Lonchura striata: one gene and its partner. The protein of the gene in region 2 binds, or shares a complex with, the protein of the main gene of each other region. Links are inferred from orthologs where the notes say so. Each region holds a gene or a part of one and is shown on either strand. Other genes may lie near its edges.

Region 1 (12,136 bases), on a different chromosome or scaffold from region 2:
CTGCTAATGATACTCTTAATTTTGCATTAATATAACAGCAAGCAGATGTTTTTGAGCTATAATTTGTTGATTGTTTCCTCTATTGCTAACAGCTGCTCTAATCTTACTTTAATACTTCCTTAATTTCTGTAAATCTCTGATATATATGCATACAAATATTATGAGGCTATTATAGCAAAGTATTATGCTAATGTAATTGCTTGAGCAATATTTATGATCTTAAATTTAAAAAAAAAAAGAGCTGAGTATAGCTATTCTTCTCTTGTAAGATGGGACACTTCAGGTTGTTTCTACTTTGGAAATAGTATGCATCAACCAATATACAGTGTGAAAATTTCAGTTTCTTGGACCACTCAGCACAAAAGTGAAACTATTAGGCCAAAGAAGAATTAATCATATATGGACACATCAACTCAAACTTTCATGAAGAGCTTTGAGTTCTTATACTACTCCAACCTTGCCAGATAAGAGACAGACTCAATCCAAAGCTATCTCAACTCTTCGTATTAAATTCAGCTGTATTAACGTGACTAAAGAACTTGGAAGGAGAGGCAGCTCATGCTTAACCATCTGGAGTGTGAATATGTCAGCATTCAGCCACATCAGCATTTCCAATCCTATTCTTACAACAGTCCAAGAATCACTCATGGATTTGTTCAACAAACTAAGCTGACCACAGTCCTTCCCATTGCCAAAGCCAAGGGAAAACACCTGACCAGGAAAATACATTCATGTATTTTATGTTATAGAGAAACTTTATGTGGATGAGGAGGAGAGTTTTGCCATTGTTTTCAATGGGAGGTGGTTGGATATTTTTCTACCAGGATGCTGTTTCAAAGATGGATTATCTTACCCAAAACTGTAGGCTTCAGATCCCAGCCGATAGGCTGCAGCCAGCTTGTTGATGGATTCAGATGCGTGGCTGTAGGCAGCTGAGCTGGTGCTGAGGGACTCGGAGTCAAGGCTGTAGGCAGCAGATCTCTTGCTTTGCGCGGCAGAGTGGTCGTAGGCTGTGGATCCATAGCTGTAGGCTGCCGACTCCAGGTCGTGGGCTGAAGAGCCATGGCTGTAAGCTGCTGAGGATTCAAGGCTGAAGCCTGCTGCAGACGAGTGGCGGTAGGCAGCAGAGCCCCTGGCGTAAGCAGCAGATCCTTGAGCATAGAGGGCAGATTTGCTCTTTGTCTCCTTTTGGTACTGGCTCACAGTGGACGACAGCGCTTTGTGGCGGTACGCACGGTCATAGTGCTCGTGGTGTCTTTGGTAGAATGGTAAAGACATCATGGATGCCTTCGAATTTTGGGTTTTGCTGCACTTTTCTGAGTGCAAATAAAAACAGGATAATGTCTGAAAAAGAATAGGTCAAACATAAGGACTACTGTCAAGGAAACTCCTGAGTTAGCATACAAATAAACCCAACTTCACACAAACTAACACTGAACTTGAAAAATCAACTCCAATGAATTTAGAGTTATCTTTTTATGATGTGATTTAGACTTTCAGACAGGTTCATATTCAAGTTTCAAGATGCTCATGTCACCCATCATGACCAGAAACCTTTGCACTCTTGTGTCTGTTCATTTATAGTTGGTTCCCTGCTACTGCAAACTATTCACGTTTTATGTGCTCACTTATTACTGCAAACTAATGAAAGTCTGTGTGCCTCGCTTCTTCAGAGATAGTATAAAGAATTTTGTTCAATTACAATAGAGATAATAAAGTAATGAATTATTTTTAAAGGCAAGAGCAAATCCAATGAGCCTATAAAAGCTGAAACAAAAATATATGAACATTTCATTTATTTTTGTAATCCAATTTTCAGATTGAATTTAATCTTCCATTTATGATTACAACAGTGAATTGAAACACTAAGATTGAGAAGGAAGTCAGTTTTTCTTTAAATGTGCATTATAGTAATTGTTTTGTACATGATACCAGGGTTCAATTTAAAAGAGCTTATTATGCATTATTCTTTTACAGTTGAATCAGGGATCCAGCCTGTATGCAATGGTTAAAATATTATCATGTTCCTCAATGCAAATCCTTTTCTTTTAACCTAAAATATCATATTCAAGGTTTCCAAGACCCTTTGTCCAGATGATAGACCCATTTAATTCTAGTTTGCACATCATCAGTTGATTATCTTTAGTCACTTGTAGTGCAAATTCTGATCAGGTGAGAGGTAGTTCCCCTCTCAAAGTGGGATGAAAGTTGAGTGCAGAAAGAATTTCCCTTGTCTGTTTGTTTGTTTTAAAACCAGCAGTTCAGTCATTACTTTGCATTTTTATTTTGCTATTGTTATAACTGATTTTTCTACTTTGACATGGAAGCTTGCTTCAAGTAATCCATATGATAACCTTTCTTTCTCTTTCTCTTAGGCTCACATGGCTACTAGGATTGTCTCTGAAAAGGTCTCTCATTAGTAATAGAAATGACCTACAATAAGGAAGTGTTAACAAGGATTTAAAGAAGATCAAAAAACAAGAGTGAGAGGTGTTTGTTATTGCTTTGAGTATTTTTTTTTTTTTAATTGATCACAACAGTAGGAAATTTGTTCTGCTTCATGATTTCTTCATACTAATGAAAAACTATTTAATTTTTGGACTTAAAATACATTTACAGAACTGTAAGATAATCATGACTTCATGAAAGTATAGATATCCAATTTGGGTTGTCCTGCACAGGGACAGGAATTGGTCGCTGATGATTCTTGTGGGTCCCTTCCAGTTCAGAATAGTCTGCTATTCTGTGGGGTTTTTTTCCCCTGCTGGTCTTTATGCCCCCTAGATTTCAGTCCTTGGCTTTTCCTTTAGTATTTGGTTCTGAAAGCAAGTCAACAAATTTCAAACAATTCTCTTTGAAAGCTGCTGAGGTATTTGCCCTCACCAAGGCAAATTATGGATAAAAAAAAAAAAGAACAAAACACCAAAAACCCCAGAAACAAAACCCAAACCAAACGAAAACCAAAACCAAAATGTTCTTATATTTCAGGGATCTCACAAGGGAAATGCTCCTTGTAGGATAACTTTAGCTTCAGGAAGTCAACAAGGAAGAAATTTATTCAGAAACTTTTTATGTAAAAGAAATTGCTGATATCCTGACCAAACAGAAACTATGAGACTTCAAGGAGACCAAATTATACACTTACTTTATTTTTATCTGAGGAAGAAGGAGAAATGAGAAAGAGTGTTAGCCCATTGGTCTCTATGGCAAAAGCTGATGTTCTTTTTTAGCTCTCTTATTCCTAATGCTGGTTATTTTTTCATGTCAGTCTAAAAGAATGCAATTATGCTGTCTAGCATTCTTGTTTCTAGTACCTGTCAGTATTTTCTGTTGTTACTTATTTCACTTAGTAAGCTACTGGTAGTATGTAATTCCTCTTAATTTCCCTAGTTTCAGAAGATTTTTTCCTTAATTTTTCTGTGTTGTCTCCCTCTTCCACCTCTGCAGAGTTGGGTTTAGGGCTTGTAAGTCATTGTGATCACTGCCTAGGAAGGTTAAGGTGTACAGAAGAATATTGTCTTGCACACTGAAAGGAAAGGAACATGAGAACATCCTGTTTTCCTTCTGCAGAGTACTATGGTGCATCTTCACCAGCTTTATTTGAAGTGTTGGCTGGCTGCATCATTCATACAACAGCCACAATGCTAACAGACATTCAGCTCAGGCATGCCCAAAATCTTCCAGGCTTCAAAGCATGGAAGGTGATCCACAAGTATGAAGCACTGTGTGTGTTGCCCATTAAGAAGTTAAACAAGGCATTTAATTTACTTTTTATCAGACCAAAAGAACAAGTTAAAAGGAAACATTTTTCTTCCAAACATGAAAGATCTCACTGACTGTCTCACAGTCCTCAGGAGTAAAAGTCTGTGATAGAAGTAAGGATTATTATAGCAAGGCAGGCACTGAACACTAACTAAGTCAGCTCTAATGATCTAATCAAAGACCAGCATTGACTTACATCATGTAAAAGGAAACTCCTTTAACAGGCATTTTATCATAGTCTGTGTTATGTTTTATATTTCCTCTGAAACATCACGGATTGCTCACAGGCCAGGATAAGCTGGTTACATTAGTCTGATCAGATACAGCAGTGTGATGCTATCGGAGATGACAAGTAACTCAGAAAGTTCCAGGGACTTTTCTCCTCTCTGGAGCACTGCCTGATTGTCAGACTGACTCCCATCTCCTAAGTTTTATCTATGATACATGCACCCACATAGTCTGCATGCACCAACCAGCCCCTTCAGTGTGAGGGCAACTTCAGAGCTTAGCCCAAAAACATTAGTGGCCATAGTTAGATGAATTCACAGTTTTTGGAACTATATTTTATCAGCTATTGAACTGAATATTTAAAATTACTACTGAGCAGGCAGACAGTTCTCTACTTGTCCATAGTTCATAGCTACACATTAAAGGAAGCTGGCCTCACCTCTAGTGCTGTTTATCAGTCTGTGTAATTCTTTAAAGATCTACTCCATCAATCAATGAAAATAGTGAAATAGATTTAAAAAAAGAAACTCTTGTAAGCAAAGATAAGATCCTAAGCAACAAGAAAATATTTATGTTATTTAAACCTTCTCTAAGCCCTCAGGATGACATGACAAACTCCTCCTGTATCTCAGTAACCCATGCTTCATTTGAGAGTACTGTGACAATATGTAAAGATAGCTGAGTGAAAATAAAAGGGCCCCTGCACTACTTTCTTTCAGGTTCACAGCTGAACCTTCAGATGTCTTCAATTCACATCCACAAATCCCTCAACAGCTGAGCTAAGAAGAATAAAGGGAACTACTATCAACTTGGCATTACAGATTCAGATTAAAAATAATTGAACATGTAAAACCTTCTGGCATAAAAAAACCACTTACCAGGATCCAAATGAATGGCAGCAAATGGAAGAGCTCTGAAGCGGATGAATAGAACAAAAATACAGCAACAATGAAGCCAGCAAAGAAAGAGGTAGTTACGACGAGGGGTAAGGACTGGACTTCAAGGTCCAGAACAAAAATAATGCCTGCAGTCAGTGGAATGTCAGAGCCCCAGTCCAGACCTTTTATGGCCAGGGGGATGCTATAAATATAGCATGGAAGAGGGAGAGAGACAGAGACAGATACCGATACCCTGTACTATCTCTGTGCAAAGACATGGTGACAGCAGCTTCAAACTAAAGGAGATACAGAGTTCTCCCCTTAAAATATCCTCACTAAATTCTGAATAAAATCAGCATTCCACTTCAAAATTATTTCTAGGATTTTTTTTTTCCTTAGTTAAATCAGATTTAGTAGGAGAGAAAAAAAAAATTGTGTCATGAACCAGAAACTAGGAAAGACCAATGCCTGTGTTGACCTTTGCTCTGGTACAAGAATTTGAACATTTTATTGGTTCTTTTTTTTAATGCCAAACCACAGTACAGGTAGTATAAATATTTCAGCTTAATGACAGACAATCTATCAAGACTCTCTAAAGTCATATGAGTTACATTTGAACGGAAATGTATTTTCTTTGTTCTGTTGACAGTGTTACTTTTTTATCGTCTTCTTTAAGATAAAATGCTAAATTAAGAACATGACCACATGAGGCATTTAAGTAGATATAAACAATGCAGCTCTAAAATCTGACTTTTTGTTTCTAAATTAAGCAGTATTACCTCTAAGAATAATTAAATGGGCTTGTCTTCTTCCATTTTGGTCCCAGCATTCTGGCATGAAAATGAGTAATCTGTGTGGCTGAATATTACATCAGAATGAGTTCTGTCATCTGAGATCTAATAGTAGGAATGCAGTGTGACTTCATTGTAAATACAATTTATCTCTGCACTGTAAATTTAGCTTTAAATAAAAGTGATGAGTGCATTTTATTTTGTTCATTTGCATTAACCCTCTCAGTTCTGCTATAGCTTCTTTTCACACTTGCCATAGAACACAACCAAGAACTTTCCAGATCCTCCTGTTCTCCTAGCACTGTCCCCTTTATGGGTGTAACCACCAGAAGATGGTCTGGATAAGGCTAGAGGACCCCAGGCTTTTCTCTACAATAGTTCATCAGTACCTTCTTCTTCACCTCACTGTCTTGATTCTACATGCAATCCCTTCGTTGTCCCCACTAGCTACTTGTTCCCTGGGGAGCCACTGCCTCCTGCCTGATGCTCCACCATGCAGTAAGTTCAGAAGCCTCTTTACCTCCCACACCAGGAGCTGCTCAGGTGCACCAAACTTAGGGGCTTTTGGTTTTTGATCATGAGGACAGAAACCATGGCCAGCAAAAAGCTGTGCAGTCATAGAAACTGTATTGTGGGTCAGGAAACTGCCCAAATCTGCAACAGTCAGAGTGAAAAATGGGAACCTTAATGCAAGCTTTTCTTCCCCCAGAATACTGTGCCAGGAGCAGCGCCACTGAGCTATAGGTTCCAGGCTATAATGTATATTTTTAGTTAGAGTAGATGGAGCCTCAGGGGACATACTCCTGGATTGAAGTACAAACCCTGATCCATTCCTTCACCATGGGTCATTTGCACTGATATTGTAGAAGTCTTAATGACAGGCAAATTGCTTTTTAAGAATACAAGAAAATGGAGAGAAATGAAAGCAATTAAATATCACACTTCTCTGCTTTAATTGCAAGACAATCTGTACAGCTCACATGTGGGGGATAAAAATCTGAACAACATTTTCAGTATTTTTGTAAGGCACAATGGCACTATGAAGTCCAATACAGTTGTCAAATTCTGTGCTGCCTCCATTTATTCTGTAAATAAAATGGAGATATAGTGTAACAGCAAAATATTTAGTATTATTTTGCCCCTTAAATTTACACAATTTCAGATCTAGCTTTATTATGAGATAATATCCACAGCTAATTTCAAATCACTGAACTCCTATTTGAGTATCAAAGTACATATTTTAAATCACTTGGAGCTCTGCAAGCCTCAGAATCCCTGCAGCATTCTATATCCACATGTATTTAGTTACATTGGGCTTGGGAGAGACACCCTTAGGAAATACTAGTTCTGTCTTCTCCTAATTAGAACTACATAGTGCTAGAGACCAGTTTGTTTTTCTGTATGGTAAAGATATTCATTAATTTATATTATATTAATTTAGAGCCCAACATGACAAAACAAAAACCTTTCCAGACTGTCACCTGAAGTTTTGAGAGTTATAGCATCCTGTAGCTGTGGGCATAAGTCAAATTCCACATCATCCCAGTCCATCTCTTTCATTTGAGTTTAATCTTAAATAAATCTAGCAAAACAATTTTTGGAGAACAGAGGCTTTGAGCATGTGGGTTGTCTTCTGGAGTTTGCTTTCAAACTTGGGTCTAGTTTTCTGAATTGATTTTTATCAAGAAGAAAAATTGCTTTAGGAAGATCTGCTATTGTCCATTATACTCCAACTAGGCATATTCATAACCCACTGAAGGGAAGGGAGGTCTGTGTTCCCTACCTTCACCCATAAGAAGATATTAATATCCAGGCTTCTGTTGATTCTCTGCATCACTCTCAGCTCATATATTTAACAAGGAGTCAACCTTTTAACAGAAGGATCTGACTGCAGCCTACAACAGCTTGAGTGTCTGGGCTCACACCTGAAGAACGAAGTACAAGACCACTGTCTCCTTGATATGGGTAGAAATTTTTCCAAATCCTCTCAAACTATTGACTGCTGGTGCCTAGATCAATTTTTCATCATAGAGAAATATTTGCCTTACCATTATTAGCAACATTTATTCTGCAGCGTCTCTCTGGAACTGGAAATGTCACATAAAAATGTTCCTGCTAACAGCATTTCTTTTCCTTTGTAACATTAAAAAGGTTTCTGTCCATAATAAAACCTTACCTCAAGAGCATATAGCAGATTATTCCAAAAGAAAATTATTATAATTTCTTTAAGTAAGTGCTTTTGGCACTTAGATTTTTTTTTTAATCCCTAGTATCTCCTGTCATCTTAACTTTCATATCAAAACAGATGGTTGTCAAATGTCCTCCCACATTTTATCATTCTTTCCTAAACATCACAGATTTTTCAATACCTTTATTCCAATAATGATGGATAGTTGTTAATATCATTGTTGTATTTTGCTTTGTACCTTGGAAAGACTGGCCAAAACACCTTGACACATGATTGCTGAAGGACCAGAGCTGTACCTGGTAACTGTTATCTGCAACTGCAGATAACTCAAACCCAGAAAACTTGACTGAGGCACAATATCTGAGCTCCTGCCACTTAGGCATGCAGCTTTTAGAAGCAGGTAATATACTTCAAAATATGAGTTAAATAGTTTAGGCAGGATACTGACCAAACAGAGGTGCCCAGTGTCTGGGACTGGGGCAGTGGGATGGGCACTGACTGCCAGGTCCTGATAGAGCCTGTGGGGAGCTCCAGTGGCCCCTGGGGGAGCACTAAAACCAGTGACTTTATAGTGATTGTCAGCCCCATTTCTGTTATCCATAGCCCATGTAACTGAAGTATGTCATTATAAAGAAAACAATCTGTAGATATCATTTTACTGCAGTGTAAACTACTATTGCAATAATACAAAGCAATTGCTTCAGATATTACAATAATCATTTCCACAATCATTCAGGCACAGCCAACACAAATGTATCCACTACACAAGCACATTTTTCTTTCTTTTTTTTTTTTGTCCTCACATTAATTGATGAAATACTTTTGAATTAATCAAATGTTTATTTTAAAAGGATAGTGGCTATGTCTTAATAGAAGAAACAAATAGTTTTAGCTCTTTAGCCATCACCCTTGGAAATTATGTCTGATATAACAATTAGGCTCAAACAATTGAACAAAGTTTTGAGAAGTATTTGCATCAGAAATTCATACATTGCTTTATTCAACACTCCCCACAGGAAAGACCTTCAAATTTCAAACATCAATCATGAGTAAGAAAGTTTTCTAGAAATTGGTGGTGAATGCAAAACAACCTGATCAAGACAAAGAGGTGAACATTAGACTGTTTAGTATTTAAAGAAATTAAGGAGGTACACTGAAGAACAGAAGGAACTGAGATTAGGATCTGATGGGTGGACATGCAGGTCAAAGATAATTTTGGTGATTATTTCCCAGGTGTGATTTAACTTTAAATGAAGTCATTCAAACATAAACAGCATAGTCCAAACACCAATTGATTACGAGACAATTGCCAAACCCACCAGGACTTCACAAATATTCAGAGTTAATCAAATTATTTGAATAGTTTTTTTCAGTAACTTAAAAAATCTGCTATAGCTGGTGACTTCAGACTTCAGTGCAGTTATATTTCACAAAGGCAGCTGTATGTTTAACTCTGAAATGGATTAATCCTGATTTTTATGTAATGGGCCAATACTCTGGTTTCTCCATCCATGCTGTAGGACAAGGTCTTTTTTCCTTTCTGAACAACTTTAAGTTTGGAGACTCAACAAAAGGGACTGGCATGAACTAAAATAAGATGCTTCAAAGATTGGAGGGCAAGATTGGTTTTCTGTCTGATGATGGTTAGTATTGGATAGTCAGGAAAACAATCAAGAAATCAAAGTGGACAGGTTTTCAATATCCTTTCCAGGGGATGTTTCACCTTAACCTCTGTTGCTTAACTAGTTTATTATCTTATAGCTCAAGTGACTTATAGGAGAAGTTGTGGTGGCTTAACAAAGCCCTTTATTAAAAAAAAAAAAAAATTACATAGCTGTTTACAGTAAAATTCTAGAATTCAGTATAACACTATACCTACAGATGATAGTTCAGCCTTTACTGACTTCCTGAAAATCAACTGGGATTTGCTTATCAACTGTTGAATATTTCTAGTTCCTCATTTGTCTTTTTCTTGCTATAGCTTGTTCCTGGCTTGTCGCCCTGATTCTTAAGATTTTCTAAAGCCTTCTGAGTTTACATTCTGTTGGAGAACTTTCCCACACAATTTCTATAAACAACATATTGTTTTGCATTCTTTTATGGGGGTGGAGAAACTTGATGTACTAGTGGTTTGTACAATGTCTTTGGAGAGGTGGCCCATTCACTCTCCAATCTAATGTCACCTTTGGGAAAGCATAAAAGTTGGACTGAGAGAATAAACTTTCTTCTTTACCTTGCAAATAGCAGGTGGCTCGCATCGTGCTTTCACGTGTCCTATAGCGACACTGGCTTTCTAGCAGAAACTGTGAATGTCTTGTTAGCACATCCCTGCCCTTCCCACTGAACAACCCCTCAGCTGGACACACCAGCAAAGTGGCAGCAGCCTTCTCCCCTTAGTGACTGGAAGGAAGTAGAGGACCCCTGCCTCATTTCTCATGATTGCCATTGACAACCCAGCATCTTTATACCCAAAGAAACCCTCATAATTCAGTGTAAGGTTAAACAACAGCAGCAAAATATGAATCCTAAAGTAGCAAATCTATCTCCTCCAGATCATTTAGCTACAATAAATTTTAGAAGTGCTCCTCCAAAGTACTGTGCCTGTGTATTCCACCAGTGAAATGCAATGACATCTGGGTGAGTGATTTACACCTCTTTTCAGTACTAAGCAAACTGCAGGGATGTTGAGAGGAATACATGTACCAAATGGGCACCAGATGTGCCCAAAACCTCACTGGTTGCTGGGGCTGCCAAGGAAAAGCAGCTGTGGATTCACTGCCAGAGTGAGAAATCTCTGCAGGTAGTGGAACTAGAAAAAGGTACCAAGAGCAACTTACAGGCAGGGAAGGGCCAGGTGGGGGGTGAAAGTCAGCTATTAAAATATCCTTCTCTGCCTACTCAAGCAGCTGGCTCAGAAAGCAGAGCACCTTTTATCCCCCTGATAACAGGTCTAATAGGGAGATTTATCCATGAGACATTTAATTAACTAAATCCAACGTTAGTGATGGAGTAGCTTTGACAATTCAAAGCTCAGCACAGGACTCTTTCACCTCATATTTACTGAGCTAATGAGTTTGGGGTGAGTTTTTCAGCCAAACCTGATCTTAGCACTATATAGCTAGTCCAAATGAACTAGTTAATATAAATCTCCTCCATATATATCTCTAGACAATGTCTGTGTGGGCATTTCATTAATATTTTTTAGCACAAGAGCTTGAAGTCATCAAGGCTCTGTTAAAACCCAGATGATGCTTTAAAATGAGGCATAATGGGCATAGTAAGAAAGCCCAGCCTTCTAATGAAAACACTTAGCAGTGAACTATTAAGTCAATGTTGTGCTTATGCAGACTTATTTCTGTCCCTGTGTCTGATTATTTCTCTTATTTGTGTTTGTATTTCTACCACTTCTCACAGGAAAGAGCATGACCACATCAATTTAATGTGGAGGCACACTGATCACCTTCTCCCTCACTCATGCGCTATTTTTAAAAACTCTTGCTTACTTTTCATCTACAAATTTTCAATTCAAAACACCACACTGCATGCTGATGTTGCTCTCCAGCACTTGAGGAAAAAAAAAAAAACATGGAAAAAATAGCCATGATATTTGGCATGTTTTATGTGATCATATACATATAGAGTTAATATTCTCTGCTGTATGAGACTTGGAGTGCTGCATCCAGGTCTGAGGTCTCAAACATAAGAAGAACATGGACATGTGGTCCAGAGCAAGGACACAAAGATGACGAGAGAGGAGGAGCACCTCTCCTCTGAAGACAGGCTAAGAGAGCTGGAGAGATTCAGCCTGGAGAAGAGAAAGCTCTCGGGAGACCTTAGAGCAGCCTTCCAGTACCTAAAGGGGGTCTACAGCTCAGCTGGAGAGGAACTTTTTACCAGGGTTTGTACTGGCAGGACAAGGGGGAATGGTTTTAAAGTGAAGGAAGGCAAGTTTAAATTGGGAATTAGAAAGAAATTCTTCACTGTGAGGATGGTGATGCACCAGAACAGGTTGCCCAGGGAAATTGTGGCCGCCCCATTCCTTGGAGTGCTCATGGCCAGGTTGGATGGCACTTTGAGTGACCTGGTCTAGTGGAAAGTTGTCCCTGCCCATGGCAGGGGTGCTGGAATGAGATTATCTGTAAGGTCCCTTCCAGCCCAAGCCATTCTATGATTCTGTCCCAGGAGCTCAGTTTCTGAGACCTTTCATAAGAACCTAAAAGGCAGAGAAATGACATAATATGGCAGAAACAAGTGATATAGGGGCCATTTTGGTGTGCAAAGCAGAGGCT
Region 2 (12,637 bases):
TCCGGGTGGAAGCTTCCCAGCCAGCTCCCGGCTGCGCTGCCCAGGCCCAGCAGCGCACCGCTGCCCCGCAGCGTGCGGAGCGGTGCGGCGCCGCTTTGCAGCGATTAACCTGCCGCACGCTGAGCCTGCATCCGCCCAGCTCCCTGATCAAACGACTGGCAGCTGCCTCCCTCCCTGGACCTGCTAAAAGCAATCACATTGCTGAGGTGCAGCTGGAGATGCTGAGCAGCAGTGAAGTGAGGGGATAACGTGCCAGCCCTCAGCAGGCAGCATCGCTCTGGCCTCAGCCTCTCACTAGTTCTGAGGGAGCTCCAGTGCTCAACAGCTGATGGAAAACCCAGCGGCTGCTGGGATGGCCGAGCTTGAGGCAGGCAGGCTACATGCCACAACAGCCCTATGGGGGATAGCTGAGATGCCTCAGGGAAACCCAAGCATGCCACACAGTGCTTGACTGCAGCAGCCAGCCTGGCACTTGTGCCAGAGAGGTGTCAGCCTGAGCCTCCAGACACCCACCCCCAGCCCTGCTGGTGACATTGATGTCCAAATCCAGATTGAACCAAGATAGCCTCCCTAAGACCCTTCTGTCAAAGTGATGCAAAGCTGCTCAGCCAAAAGTCTGAGCCTCAGCAGATGGTGTTCCCTCTCCCCGTCTAGGGAAGCAGAGCTCTCCATGCCCCTCACTCCCACATAGCACACGACCTCCTGCCTCTTCCCAAAACCCATGCTGCCTGTCCTTCCCACTGACAATTTTGCCTTTATCTCACTAAACCCCCCTCCCTTCCTCACCCTTCCAGCAGCCACCACTCCACTGACTCTTCAGCATCTCTTATCACTCATCCTACCTTCACTCCTACATCCTTGGCCATCAACTTTGGCCCTTTGCCATGTGTTAACATCACAGTGAGGCTTTACCATTGTGGTCACATCAACTTTCAACTGGGTTTTAGCTCTGCCCCTGGTTGCCTTCCCGTGGTTGTGGGATGTGGATTCTGGGGCCAGCAAGGGGAAGCCTTTCACTTGCTTTCAGCTTTCATTATCCTCTGCCAGCCAGTGATGCCAGCAACCGCTTCACAGCTGGGGCAGCCGCCACAGGATGCTGAGCCCTGCTCCCATCCAGCAAACACCACCCAGCCATCGGTCTCCAGGCAACTGTTAATTTTCAGGTCAGCAATTAACACTGTCCATCAGAGCAATGACCAACCATGAGTCATCCTATGCCAGGTGCTGGGCCCACTATTTTTAGGACCTTGGAGGAGGGCTTGGTTACTAGCCATGGCAGAAGTCTGGCAAACACCCTGGTGTGCAGGTGCTGGGTGCTCTTGTGTGCTCTAGTGTTTCAAACAGGCTGAGTGAGCTGCTCCCTCTGGCAGTTGGTCTGAGTCCCACAAGGACCCCAACTGAGCAGCCTACCAAACTGCTGGTGAGCACCGAGCAAAAGCATGTCTGACAAATATCCCATCACAGCAAGTGACAGCAATACTGACACCAGCACATGCATTGTGGCATCCTGCACTGGCAAAGAAAGCCCCCTGAGACCCTACCAGCCCTCCTGCATCACACGCACCTGCCACAGTGATGGTGTAGAAGGCAGAGTCCCCACCAGCATCGCAGACGAACTCTCCTGTGTCCTGTGTCTGAGCGCAGGGCAGCACCAGCTTGCACTGTGGCCCCTCCTGCTCCAGCAGCAGGCTCTCACCCACCTCCACCTCCTCTCCATCCTTGTACCAGTGCACTGGGACTGCTGGGCGGGACAGCTGGCACCACAGCTCCACACGCTGTCCGACCACGTAGGCGTGGGGGGCTTCCTCATTGGAGCTGATGATCCTCACCGGCACCTCTGCCAGGGAGAATGTGGGCCTCAACATGACTAGCTGCAGCTTTCAGCTGCATGATGGGGGTAAGAAGCAGGGCAGGAGCACTGTCAGGAGGTAGGGGCCAGGCTGCCACACACATTCCCCAGCTCACCGGTCACGGTCACCACAAAGCTCACGGCATCATCCCCAGCGTCACAGGTGTACACAGCAGAGTCTGAGGGACACGCTGAGCGGAGCAGCAGCCTCCGCACGCAGCCTTCTGCCTGCACCGCGATAACGTCATCCAGGGGCACGGCCTTGCCGTCCTTCAGCCAGCAGACAGGGGCATCCGGGGTGGACACCTGGCACTCTAGCAGCACAGGCATCCCTGCTGGCACGTTTCGGAGCCGTTCAGCCTCAGACACTGGGGCAATGCGGACCTGTGGGGCTGAGAGACATTTAGGAGCGGTGAGAAGCATCCTTCAGCATGACAGCCCCTGCTGCTGGGGTCCTGGTAGGATCCCAGGGTGAGTGCCCTGATCACCTTGCACATGCAGGATAGCTGAGTCCCGCACACCACCGGACACAAAGGTGACCTGGGCCCCACTGTCAACCAGTCGTGCTCCTCGGATCAGCAGCGAGTGCTCCATCCCATGGCGCTGTACACTGCACCGGCCGCCTGCATCCTCCTCCTCACGCAGCCTGGCACCGTTGAGGAACCAGGATCCATGCACTGCAGCTGACAGCTCCAGGGAGAACTGTGCATCCTCACCATCCCTCACCCACGTGTCCTGCAGACCCCTCTCCAGACGAGCTGCTGGGGCTGGAGCACAGTCGGACTGAGCCCCAGTGGCACTGACTACCAGCACACTGCAGCACGACATCCCAGCTTTTGCCTGTCTCCTCACCGAGATGCACAGATCCAGGGAACTCCACAGGTCTGCTCCTGCCGTGCTTGTTGGCGGCAGAGATGCGGAAACAGTAGTCGGCCTCGCGAGGCACGCTGTCACCCAGCACCCGCACGCAGCTGGGCAGGTCGGTGGCAAGGCACTGCACCCACTCCCCTCCCGCTGCCTCCCGACGCTCCAGCAGGTAGTGGCTGGCGGGGCGGAGGTGGGAGTCAGGTGCAGGACACCAAGTCAGCAGAGCTGTGTTAGTCTCCACCACGCTCATCTCAGCTGCTACTGGTGCACTCGGAGGGTCGTGCTTCACACCTGCAAGTTACAGCCCACGCTGACTGCTTGGGGATGGCAGTGAGGTTCTAGGTGGGGTGGTAGAAGTGATAAGTGGGGGTAACAGCCTGTTTCTTTGGGGATTCTCTCTCTGATGGAGAGGATGGTCTTGCTCCCGTGTAGCATGCTGCTGGCTGCAGGGGTTTGTGAATGCCTGTGAGGCTAGGATCCTGGAGTTCTGCTCAAAGCCCCCTTCCCATAAAACACATTGCTGCATCACACCCCCAGCATATTGGCTGCCTATGCCATCCCCTCTTCTGTATCACCCCCCATGAACAGGCAGGAGAGAGGACACAGGACCCCTTCAGGAGCTTACACTTGACTCGGAGCTGGGAGGATGTCTGTGACTCCCCGACAGTGAAGGAGATGATGCCCGCGTCCTGGCGGGTGACGTGCACCAGCACCAGGAGGTGTGTCCTGCTGAAGCTCTTAAGCACGGTGCGGGGTGACTCCCGCAGCTGTAGCCCATCCCGGCTCCAGCAGCTGCCCTCTACCACATCCCGTGTCTCCACACAGAAAACTGCATTCTCCCCCTCCATCACATCCAGCTTCCGTGGCAGTCGCTTCACAATCACCCCTATGGGAAGAGATATATGAGGGCCAGGGAGGAATTCTGGGGACCGGGATGGGGCTCTTTGAGGTGGGAGAGGAGGAGGAGGAGGTTGAGGAGGGGCAGCAGCAGGCACCAGCCAAGTGGAGGGAAGGCAAATGCACGGAGCAGTGAGGACCCTGGCAAGGAGGGGAATAGGAAGGCAAAGCTGTGCCGCTGGAGACATGACGCACCTCGGACAGAGACCTCGGCAATGCTGCGTCCTTTGTCCTTCATCTGGCAGAGGTAGATGCCATCGTCATCGATGCGGGCATCGCGGATGGTCAGGCGCCGCACCACCCCTTGCTCCTCCATCACGTACTTGTGGCTGGGCTGCAGCTCTCTGTCCTCCAGGTACCAGGAGGTGGGGATCGTCTCCAGTGGCACCTGGCACTCCAACACTGCATCCTCCCGCTCTGCTACCTCCACGTCTGCCAGCTGCACCTGGAACCGCAGCCGGTGCTCTGCCACAGGAAGAGACAGGAGCTTAGGGCACGTGGGGTACAGCATCCACTGTCAGCCCTTTGCTCAAGGTGATCCCAGCTCACAAAGAGCAGCAAACTCTTGTCCCTCCTTTGCCCTCTCCTTTGGCTTCCATGAGACAGACACTGCCTTGACAAGCACATATCCCAGAGCAGGGAGGACCAGGGCACAGCCTGGGGAGACACAGGGATGCCTCCAGTATCTCAGCAGGAGTTTTGGGGGATGCAGGGGCATGGAAGCCAGCATACTGCAGCAGGCATCTCAGTGGAGGGGAGCAGTGGGGTGTAGGCAGGGGCTGCACCAGTTCCTGGGTAACCCCAGCCATGGGCTGTCCCCAGCTGGCTGGATGGCTCGGGGGGGAATTGGGCAGCTGCCAGTGCAGACTGTTGGAGCCGTGCCCTGCAGGGCTGGCTGCCAGAATCACTCAGCACTTCCAGGGAAATTTGTCACCAAGGCACTGTCCCTCTTCCCTGTTTGTGGCTGGACACCTGCAGTCATCCGAGAAGCCACACCTCTGTTTGCAAGGAAAGCGAGACACGGAGCAGGACACAGCTCCTGAAGAAGCCCAGCATCCCCTGTTTCCAGCTCACAGCTCTGTCCTGAGGAGCCTGGGGTGACCCTGGCTGCACAGGGCAGGAAGGAGCCCCATGATGCTGGGCTCTCACACAGACACACCCCTGCCAGACAAACTTCCCTGAGCCCCCCAGAGCCTGGCCACCTCTGACACTTCTTGGACGTGTTCCTACCTTTCACCTGCAGCTGCACTGCACTGAGAGTCTGGCCAGCAGTGTTGGAAGCAGTGCACATGTATAGCCCCTGGTCCTGAGGTTTGCAGTACAGCACCTTGAGGATGAAGTAGCCCTCCCGGTCCTCGTAGATGAGATGCCTGCGGCCAGGGGCGAGAGGTTCACCATCTTTCTGCCAGATAATCTCTGGCTTGGGCTTGCCAGTAACATAACAGCGAAACTTGGCATGCTTCCCTGCGCTCACAGCAAATGCCTTGGCCCCTGGCACCCTGGCCGGCACGACGCCATTGGGCACCCAGGTCTCCGGTGCCATGCGCCGTCCCGCTGCGTGCCGCCGCCACCGCTGCCGCTCCGCCAGTACCTCGGGGCCGTGGGCAGGGGAGCCATTGGGGAGCCCATCCAACAGTGCCTGGGGTTCAACCAGGAGCACGGCGGCAGCCAGGGCCTCCTGGGAGCCGCTGCGTGCCCGGCAGACATACACACCCCCATCCTGGGGCCGGGCACCGAACAGCTTCAGGAAGTGCCAGTCCTCTGGTTTCTGCCCCACTGCAAAGTGGCTGCTCTCAAAGAGTTCGGAGAGCTTGTGCCCATCCTTCTCCCACTCCAGCACAGGGCAGGGCTGCCCAGACACCCTGCAGGTGAACATCACATCCTCCCCCCGGCACACCCGCATGGACGAGGGGGCAATGAGGAAGGCAGGTGCGACACTGCCTGAGCATCCCTCCCCCTCTCGCGGCTCTGCTGGCTCTACCCTGAGCACGGTGGCAGCGTAAGTCTCGCCAACACTATTCTTGGCCCTACAGACGTAGAGTCCGCTGTCCTCGGGGGTGGCACAGGACACCAGCAGGCTGTACAGGTCCCCTTTGGACTCCATATGGAAACGGCCCGAGGGCTCGATGGTATTCTTGTCCTTTTCCCAGAGGATGCTTGGCTGGGGATCACCCATGATCTGGCAGCTCAGGACTGCATTGGTGCCACTTTGGACCGTGAAGGCACGTGGATAGGCCAGGAACCTGGGGGCTCCCCCGAACCCCTCCATCACCAACTCCCCAGGCTCACGGCAGACAGCTGGCTGGAGCAGCAGCAGGGATCATCAGCCTGGGGGGATGTACAGACAGACTACAGTGGAGGCTCAGGCTCCATCGAAGAGATGGACCAGTGTGGAGCCCCCAGCTAGGAGGGACCCACAAAATCCCCATCATGGACCTCCTGAGCATCATTGTCATCCAGAGCAGCGCAGTCCCACTGGATTTGTCCCAGTGTCACCCAAACCATCCATTTCCCAGCCCAAGGCAATAGGAGACGTGACAAATTGTGGCTCTTTGCACCCCGGGGGCCTGAGACACTTGCACCCTTTCCCAGGGTTGCAGAGGGGACTCCAGTTCCAGCGGTGGGGGACCCCGGCCTAGACAGGGAGCATAGGCAGCTGCTTGCTGGGTGCTGGGGCTGGGGGACAGCGAAGGCAAAAGGGCCCCCGCCCGCCCCTTCCCCACCCGCCGGGCATTCACATTCCTGCAGTATCGGGTGGTGGCAGAGCCGCATTCCTGCAGCATCTGGGCCGGCTCAGCGGGCAGGTGCTGACACGGGGCTGTCACGGGCGCGAGGCCCCGGCTGGACCCGGGCTGGGACTTCCTCCCGGACTTGGGTGGGCAGGGGACCCCCTGTGCCGGGCGGCCACCCCACAGGGCAAAGTGCCCTGGGGCGAAGTGGGGCTCTGGGGAAGGGGTCCCCGTTCTAGAGAGTAGTCCCACAGGCGGGATCCAGCCCTTGTGCACTCAAAACCATAGCTGGAAATCATCAACCCCAGGGGAAAGCTGAAAGCCAGGGAGGTGGGTCCTGCTATGGAAGGGCACTGTCTCCATCCCCAGCTTTGTGGGTAACCGTGCCCACCACCAGGGCAGGAGCAGGGCAGGGTGCTGTGTGCCTCTCCCCGCTGAGTGCACCCACCCTCTGCCCACACCATGGCTGGGACTGGGGCAGGGTCGTCTCTGACTTGCTCAGGCAGGGGGAGGGGAAACAAAAATACTTCTTGAATGAGCCAGAGGGTAGGAGAGAGCTGGTCCCCAAGGAGCGACAGGGATTGTGGCCAGTTTCTCCTCCCACAGCCCTACCCCTGGGACAGTGAATCTATTCAGATTCATCTCTCCATCCACACGCCCCTGACCCCTGGGCCACCCCACAGCAGCTCCTTTGGACACAAACGGACAGCTCTGATGGCTCGGCTGCACCATTGCACCCTTCAACCACTCCCTTCCCCAACCACCCTCCCTGCCCCAGGCAGTCCCCCAGCCCAGACCCCTGCCCCACACATGTACCTCGTTCTGCCACCTCTCCCCTGTGTCTCTCAGTGTCGGCACCCAGCTCCTGCTTCTTCCCCCAGCTCCCCTTCTGGGTGTCAGTGCGCAGGGACCAAATGTTACAAATGCCTGCAGCTGCTGTCCCCAAAAATACCCTCTGATGACACGCGGGGTTGATAAGAGTGAGCCTGCTCCGTTCAGCGCCTCACCGAGGCTGGGCTGGCCTACCTATGTATAGCAGCCCAGCAGGAGCCACCCCAGAGAGCTGCAGGGGTGCTGCAGGCCCGGCTGTGCCTCTGCGCCGGCTCAGCCAGCAGCGAGAGACAACGTGCCCTGTGGAGAGCGTGGCATGGGGTGCAGGGTGCATGGTGTGCTGTACACTGAGCTGGACACCAGACTGCAGTGAGATAGGACGTGTCACACGGGACATGCTGCATGGGGGGATGTGTTGCATTGGATGCTGCATGAAATGCCAGGCTATATTGGATGGGATGGGCAGGACACTGAGCTGCCAGAGGCACAGAGGGGATGCACAGGCTGCCCACCATCCACAGCACATGCAGCGTTAGTGGATAGGCACTGTCCCCTCAGGCAGTGGTGAGAGGAAGGGGACTGGGTCTCCTTACAGCCAATGTCTCTCCTGCAACTCCCACCCTGTGAGCCAAGCCATGGCTAGACAGCCCAAACAGCACCCTAGGATCCTTCTCCTGGACCTGCTGCAGGGTCTCCAGCTGGCCCACCCCTCTCATTTGTTCTTCTCCCCTTGAAGGTCTCATCTGTTTTTCTCCCCTCTCCAGCCTTCTGCAGCCTCAGGTAGAGCAAGGACCTTTTGCCGTCCCTCTTGCTTCATGTCCCCAGGATCTTGCTAATCATGTCATGGAGATGTCATGGACTGTCATGGAGATGCCACAACCACCCTGTCCCTCAGCTTGCCCTTTCCAAGGCCCCATCCTCACATTTTTGGCTGCCCTGGCGACTGCCACCTGCAAAGCGCCTCCCCCATGCCAGAGCCTCACAGGCCTCTGATCCCCACCAGGTCCTTGCCCAGATTTCCCTGCCGTGCACAACTGCTGTCACTTCCCACTAGCTCCCCAGAAGCCCTAGACCTTCCACTCCTCCGCCATGGGAGGCACCTCGCATCAGCAGCTGCAAAGCTCACCCAGCACCCCCTCCATCCCTGCCAGCTTCGGCTGCCGGCACCACCCTGCCCGCAGCCCGGCCTCCCCAGCCCCACGCACGCACCGCTCCCGGCAGCAGCCCCCACACACACCCCCTGGCCGGGGGCCGGCCCCCCAGACCACACTGTCCTTGCAGTCCTTGCATTCCAGACGTCTCAGCGCTTTCACAGCTCAGAGATAATATTCACGGCGAGCAGACGTTTGCGTCAGTGTCAGCTAGATCTCAATGCCACCCTGTCCCGGGGGGAGCGCTGCGGGCAGACGGGCTGGGCAGGCAGGCAGAAGCCCGCGGCAGAGCCCCCCAGGCCAGCACCCCACCGTGTGCCCCACGGCCATGCTGCTGCTGCTGCACCTGCTGCCTGCCATGCTGCCCACCGCCGCCCTGGCCAGCTGCACCGGGACGGGTGCCGACCGGCAGCTCATCCTGGCCAAGGTGCGGGCTCGGGTGCTGGAACATCTGAGTCCCCCCCTTCTCCAGGAGGAGCCACAGATGGAAGCAAGGAGGGTACACCGGAGAGACGTTCTTGAAAACACTGAAGTGGAGCCGGAGGAGCTGGAGGACACCTCCCAGGTGATCTTATTCCCTGCCACAGGTGAGAACATCCTGATGAAAGGGTGAAGCAGGGTGGGGGTTGGAGTAATGCAGACGCTGAAGGATGGCGAGGCTGATGTGGTGGGAGAAGGGGAAGAAGGTATGCCAGGCTGGGACATGGGCATGAGTGAGATTTGGTGGAGAGCCAGATGGAAAGGTATGGCAGGCATGGACAAGCAGAACAGTTCAGGACAGACAGCAGAGGGACAGGCAGCACAAGAGGGTGCTGAGAGGCTAGGAAACAGCTGGCCAGGCAGGATGTGGAGACATGGAGAGGGATGAGGAGCAGGGTGGAATAGGGTGGGATGCTAGGGAATGGGGCAGGATACTGGAAGGTGGGTTGGGATGCTAAGGGACAGGGCAGGATGCTGAAGCATGCGGCAGGATGACCAGCAATAACAGCAGGAGATGGGGCAGAATGCTGGGGGATGGGATAGGATGCACATGCTGGGGAAAAGGGGGCAGGATGACCAACTATGGGACAGGACTGGGAGATGGGCCAGGATGCAGGGAGATGGTCAGGGTGCAGAGGTGGGGGAAAAGGACAGGATTACCAGCTATGAGGTGAATGCTGGGGGACAGGGCATGATGTGGTCTCTGGGGGAAAGGGGCAAGACAACCAGCTATGGGGGAGGATACTGGGGGACAGGGGTGACAGTAATGGACCAGCCTAGAGCATAGCAGAGATCAGTTGTGGGGCACAGCACAGAAGCTGCTGCACAGCACCGGCTCCTCTGCACCCAGCCACAGCCTATGCCAGCAGCCAGGAGCCCTGCCAGCATTCCAGGGACCTCTGCAACATCCCACTTGTGATTTGGCATTGGGGATTCTCCCCAGGTCTGGGTGCAGACCCTGATCATCTTTTCCCCCCCACAGACGTTCCCTGTGAGCCCACACAGCCAGACAAGCTGCTGGAGGAAGAAGGGATTTTCACCTACCTCTTCCAGCCCTCGGCACACACCCTGAGCCGTGTGGTGACTTCTGCCCAGCTCTGGTTTTACACGGGCCCCTCGGCTGCCCCCAACCACTCCTTCCCTGAGGTGCTGACCCTGTCCCCTCAGGGCCGGGTGCCGGTGACAGCCATGGCGGAGCGGACACCCGAGCACTGGACAGTGTTTCACTTGGCCCCAGTGCTGCTGCCCCAGCTCTGGCAGCCGCTCTTTGTGCTCCTGGTGCGCTGCCCTGGCTGCCCCTGCCTGCCTGAGGGGGACAAGATGCCCTTCCTGGTGGCCACCACCCGGGCCAAGGGCAGCGAGAGGGCTCGTCGCTCTGCCATGCCCTGGTCCCCGGCCGCCCTGAGCCTGCTGCAGCGTCCATCTGAGGAGCTGGCTGCCCACACCAACTGTCGCCGGGCTTCCCTCAACATCTCCTTCGAGGAGCTGGGCTGGGACAAGTGGATCGTGCATCCCAGCAGCTTTGTTTTCCACTACTGCCACGGGAGCTGCGCTGCAGGCCACGGGCTGAGCCACCGGCTGGGCGTGCAGCTCTGCTGCGCTGCCCTGCCCGGCACCATGCGCTCCCTGCGCGTCCGCACCACCTCCGACGGCGGGTACTCCTTCAAGTATGAGACGGTGCCCAACATCCTGGCCCAGGACTGCACCTGTGTCTAGGGCGTCCTGCAGCCCAGCCCGGACCATGATCCCACGCAGGAGGAGTTGCTTTCCCAGTGGAACCCTGGCCGCTGGGATGGGGGAGTTTGGCTGTACCACCCTCCCTCGCACAAGCCAGACTTTTGGGCTGGCCCTGGTACCATCACAGAGCAAATCAGGGCATGGCGGGGCATGGATAGGCACAACCTACGGCAAAGGCATCACTGTCCTGTCAAAGCCAGGCTGCTGCCTGCAACCAGATTAGCCCTCATCTCTCTTCACCTGCTTCCCTGCTGCAGTTCTGCACCCCCACAAAGATTGGTGTCTTCCTCCTGCTGCAGAGTTCAACAGCTTCCCCTGTGCTCCAGGCAGGGCCAGGCTGTTGCAGCAGGATCAGGATGTGCCTGGGTGAGCCCATGCCAGGACCTCACACTGGTGGCAGGGCTGGCAGCACACGTGGCACCACAAGTGAGCCCTCTCCCAGCAGCATGGCTTGTTGGAAAGCTAAATGGGATGAGTGAAATAAACTTGTTCCCTTTTCTAAAGCAGCCTGGAAATGTCTGCTTCTATCTAGATGGAGAAATGAGGGGATGGGCAAATACTGTTAGAGGCATCCAGCTCCGATTTGGGGTACCAGAGAAGGGACTGGAGTATGCTGGCCAAAATGGGCAGGGTGTGGCTGGGTTTGATCCTGCCCCAGGCAGGGGTGTGCAGAGCAGAGCAACATCCCTTCTGCTCTGGGCAACAGTTGTACAGTAACGGGGACAGCAGGGGGCTGGAGAGACATGGGGATGGTGGGAGGATGGGGAGGCAGAGGGAAGCCCCTCACCTGGCCCCTTGACAGTGACAGGGCCAAAAAGGAATGTGGCCAGTGCAATCCCTCTCCGGCAGGATGATGACGATGACGGCAGGATGATGACGATGACGGCTGCCCCGACCACAGCCGCCTCCTCATGGCAGGAACAACTGAGTCACCCCGGGCAGCAGGGAGGTCCCAAGGCACCCACGGCAGCACACACAGGATTCCCTTCCCACCCCTTCCTCCCGAATGAGCGGATGCAACGGTTCAGTACAAAACGTCTTCAGCCTTTACTAATATAGATATTAAAAAAAAAAGAAAAACAGAGTGACAATCATTTCCGAGTAAAAAACAACGCTACAAAAGTCCCCATGTGACCCAGGCTGAGATGATGAGGAATGCTCCACTGGCTCCTGGCCGAGCCCAGCTCGGGGCACCACGTCCCCACACTGTGAGGCCAGGGTCTGGCTCTGTGCAGGGGGGTCCCAGCCCTGCAGCCAGAGTGGGAGGAGACAAGTTTTGGTCCAAGGGCAGCCTGCCAGGACAGGGCGGAGGCAGTGGGAACGACAGCCCCTGACCTCTGCACAGACATTTCCAAGCAGGCCAGCCACGCAACTCATAGCCCCATGCCAGGATGCTGTGCAGCACAGCCCCTTAGGCCACAAAGTCATTTTGTGGCAGCGCAGTGCCACCAGGACCCCTCCCACCCCCTCCAAGAGTAATGCCAGCCCAGGACTCTGTCCCACAGCTTGGCCTGGCCAGCCAGACCCCCAGCCTGCTCCCCTAAGTCACCCACACCTCAGGGGGCAGTACCAAAATCACCAGCACATGCAGAGCACCAGCTGGTGCTGCCATGGGTAGTAGAGGGCATGGGGGGCACAGGGAGGTGCAAGGACAACATGCTGGGGAAAATGGGTGTGGGAGGAAAAAAAGTGGGTGAAACAGGAGATGGGGGGCACAGGCCCAGAGTGGAGATTGGGATGGAGTATAAAAATGCCAGGGTGCACATGTTGATGAGTTTATAAAAACGTACAAAAATAAGATATTCCCTTTCTGAAAATTAAGTAGGAATGAACCCCATGGCCCCTGAACCCTCTGCTGCCCACTAGGACAGAGCTGCCCAGACTGCCCCGCTGGGCAGGCGTGTGGCATTCCTTGCCCTGTGCTCCTGGCAGGACGCCTATCCCACGGTGGCAGTGGCAGCCACTCCGGCAGACACCGCTGTTATTCCTGGCGACACTCACAGCCCTGTGGGGAGCAAAAAAGCAGGTCAGCACCCACCTCAGGGGGAATGGCATCCTCTCTCCAGGGGAGCCTCGGGGCAGCCCCCATGCCTCCA

What was found.
Region 1: the proteins of OBSL1 (region 2) and MYOM1 are in contact, whole or in part, in a crystal structure (PDB 5FM5), measured with the Homo sapiens proteins. The link is inferred for Lonchura striata from reciprocal best matches to the Homo sapiens genes OBSL1 and MYOM1. Residues at the interface, in NP_056126.1 of Homo sapiens: Pro243, Lys253, Phe255, Val257, Asn258, Gly260, Lys261, His262, Ala263, Lys264, Phe265, Arg266, Cys267, Tyr268, Val269, Met270, Gly271, Lys272, Pro273, Pro275, Trp279, Lys305, Tyr308, Tyr317, Cys319, Ala321, Arg322, Asn323, Ser324, Ala325; in NP_003794.3 of Homo sapiens: Arg616, Pro617, Ser618, Ala619, Pro620, Trp621, Thr622, Gly623, Gln624, Ile625, Ile626, Val627, Thr628, Glu629, Glu630, Glu631, Pro632.

Annotation. Positions count from the first base shown.
Region 1 is NC_134603.1:49,285,073-49,297,208, forward strand, and holds the start of MYOM1 (myomesin-1), read right to left. Parts: upstream 5,008-12,136; 5' UTR 4,869-5,007; intron 1,345-4,868; 5' UTR 1,282-1,344; coding exon 854-1,281; intron 1-853. UniProt on the Homo sapiens protein: Major component of the vertebrate myofibrillar M band. Binds myosin, titin, and light meromyosin. This binding is dose dependent.
Region 2 is NC_134610.1:16,231,897-16,244,533, forward strand, and holds the start of OBSL1 (obscurin-like protein 1), read right to left. Parts: upstream 5,883-12,637; coding exon 4,844-5,882; intron 4,079-4,843; coding exon 3,809-4,078; intron 3,603-3,808; coding exon 3,342-3,602; intron 3,008-3,341; coding exon 2,702-3,007; intron 2,617-2,701; coding exon 2,338-2,616; intron 2,242-2,337; coding exon 1,966-2,241; intron 1,838-1,965; coding exon 1,565-1,837; intron 1-1,564. Other genes in the region: INHA (inhibin alpha chain), read left to right, coding at 8,545-8,911, 9,787-10,520; gap junction gamma-1 protein, read right to left, coding at 12,539-12,546. UniProt on the Homo sapiens protein: Core component of the 3M complex, a complex required to regulate microtubule dynamics and genome integrity. It is unclear how the 3M complex regulates microtubules, it could act by controlling the level of a microtubule stabilizer.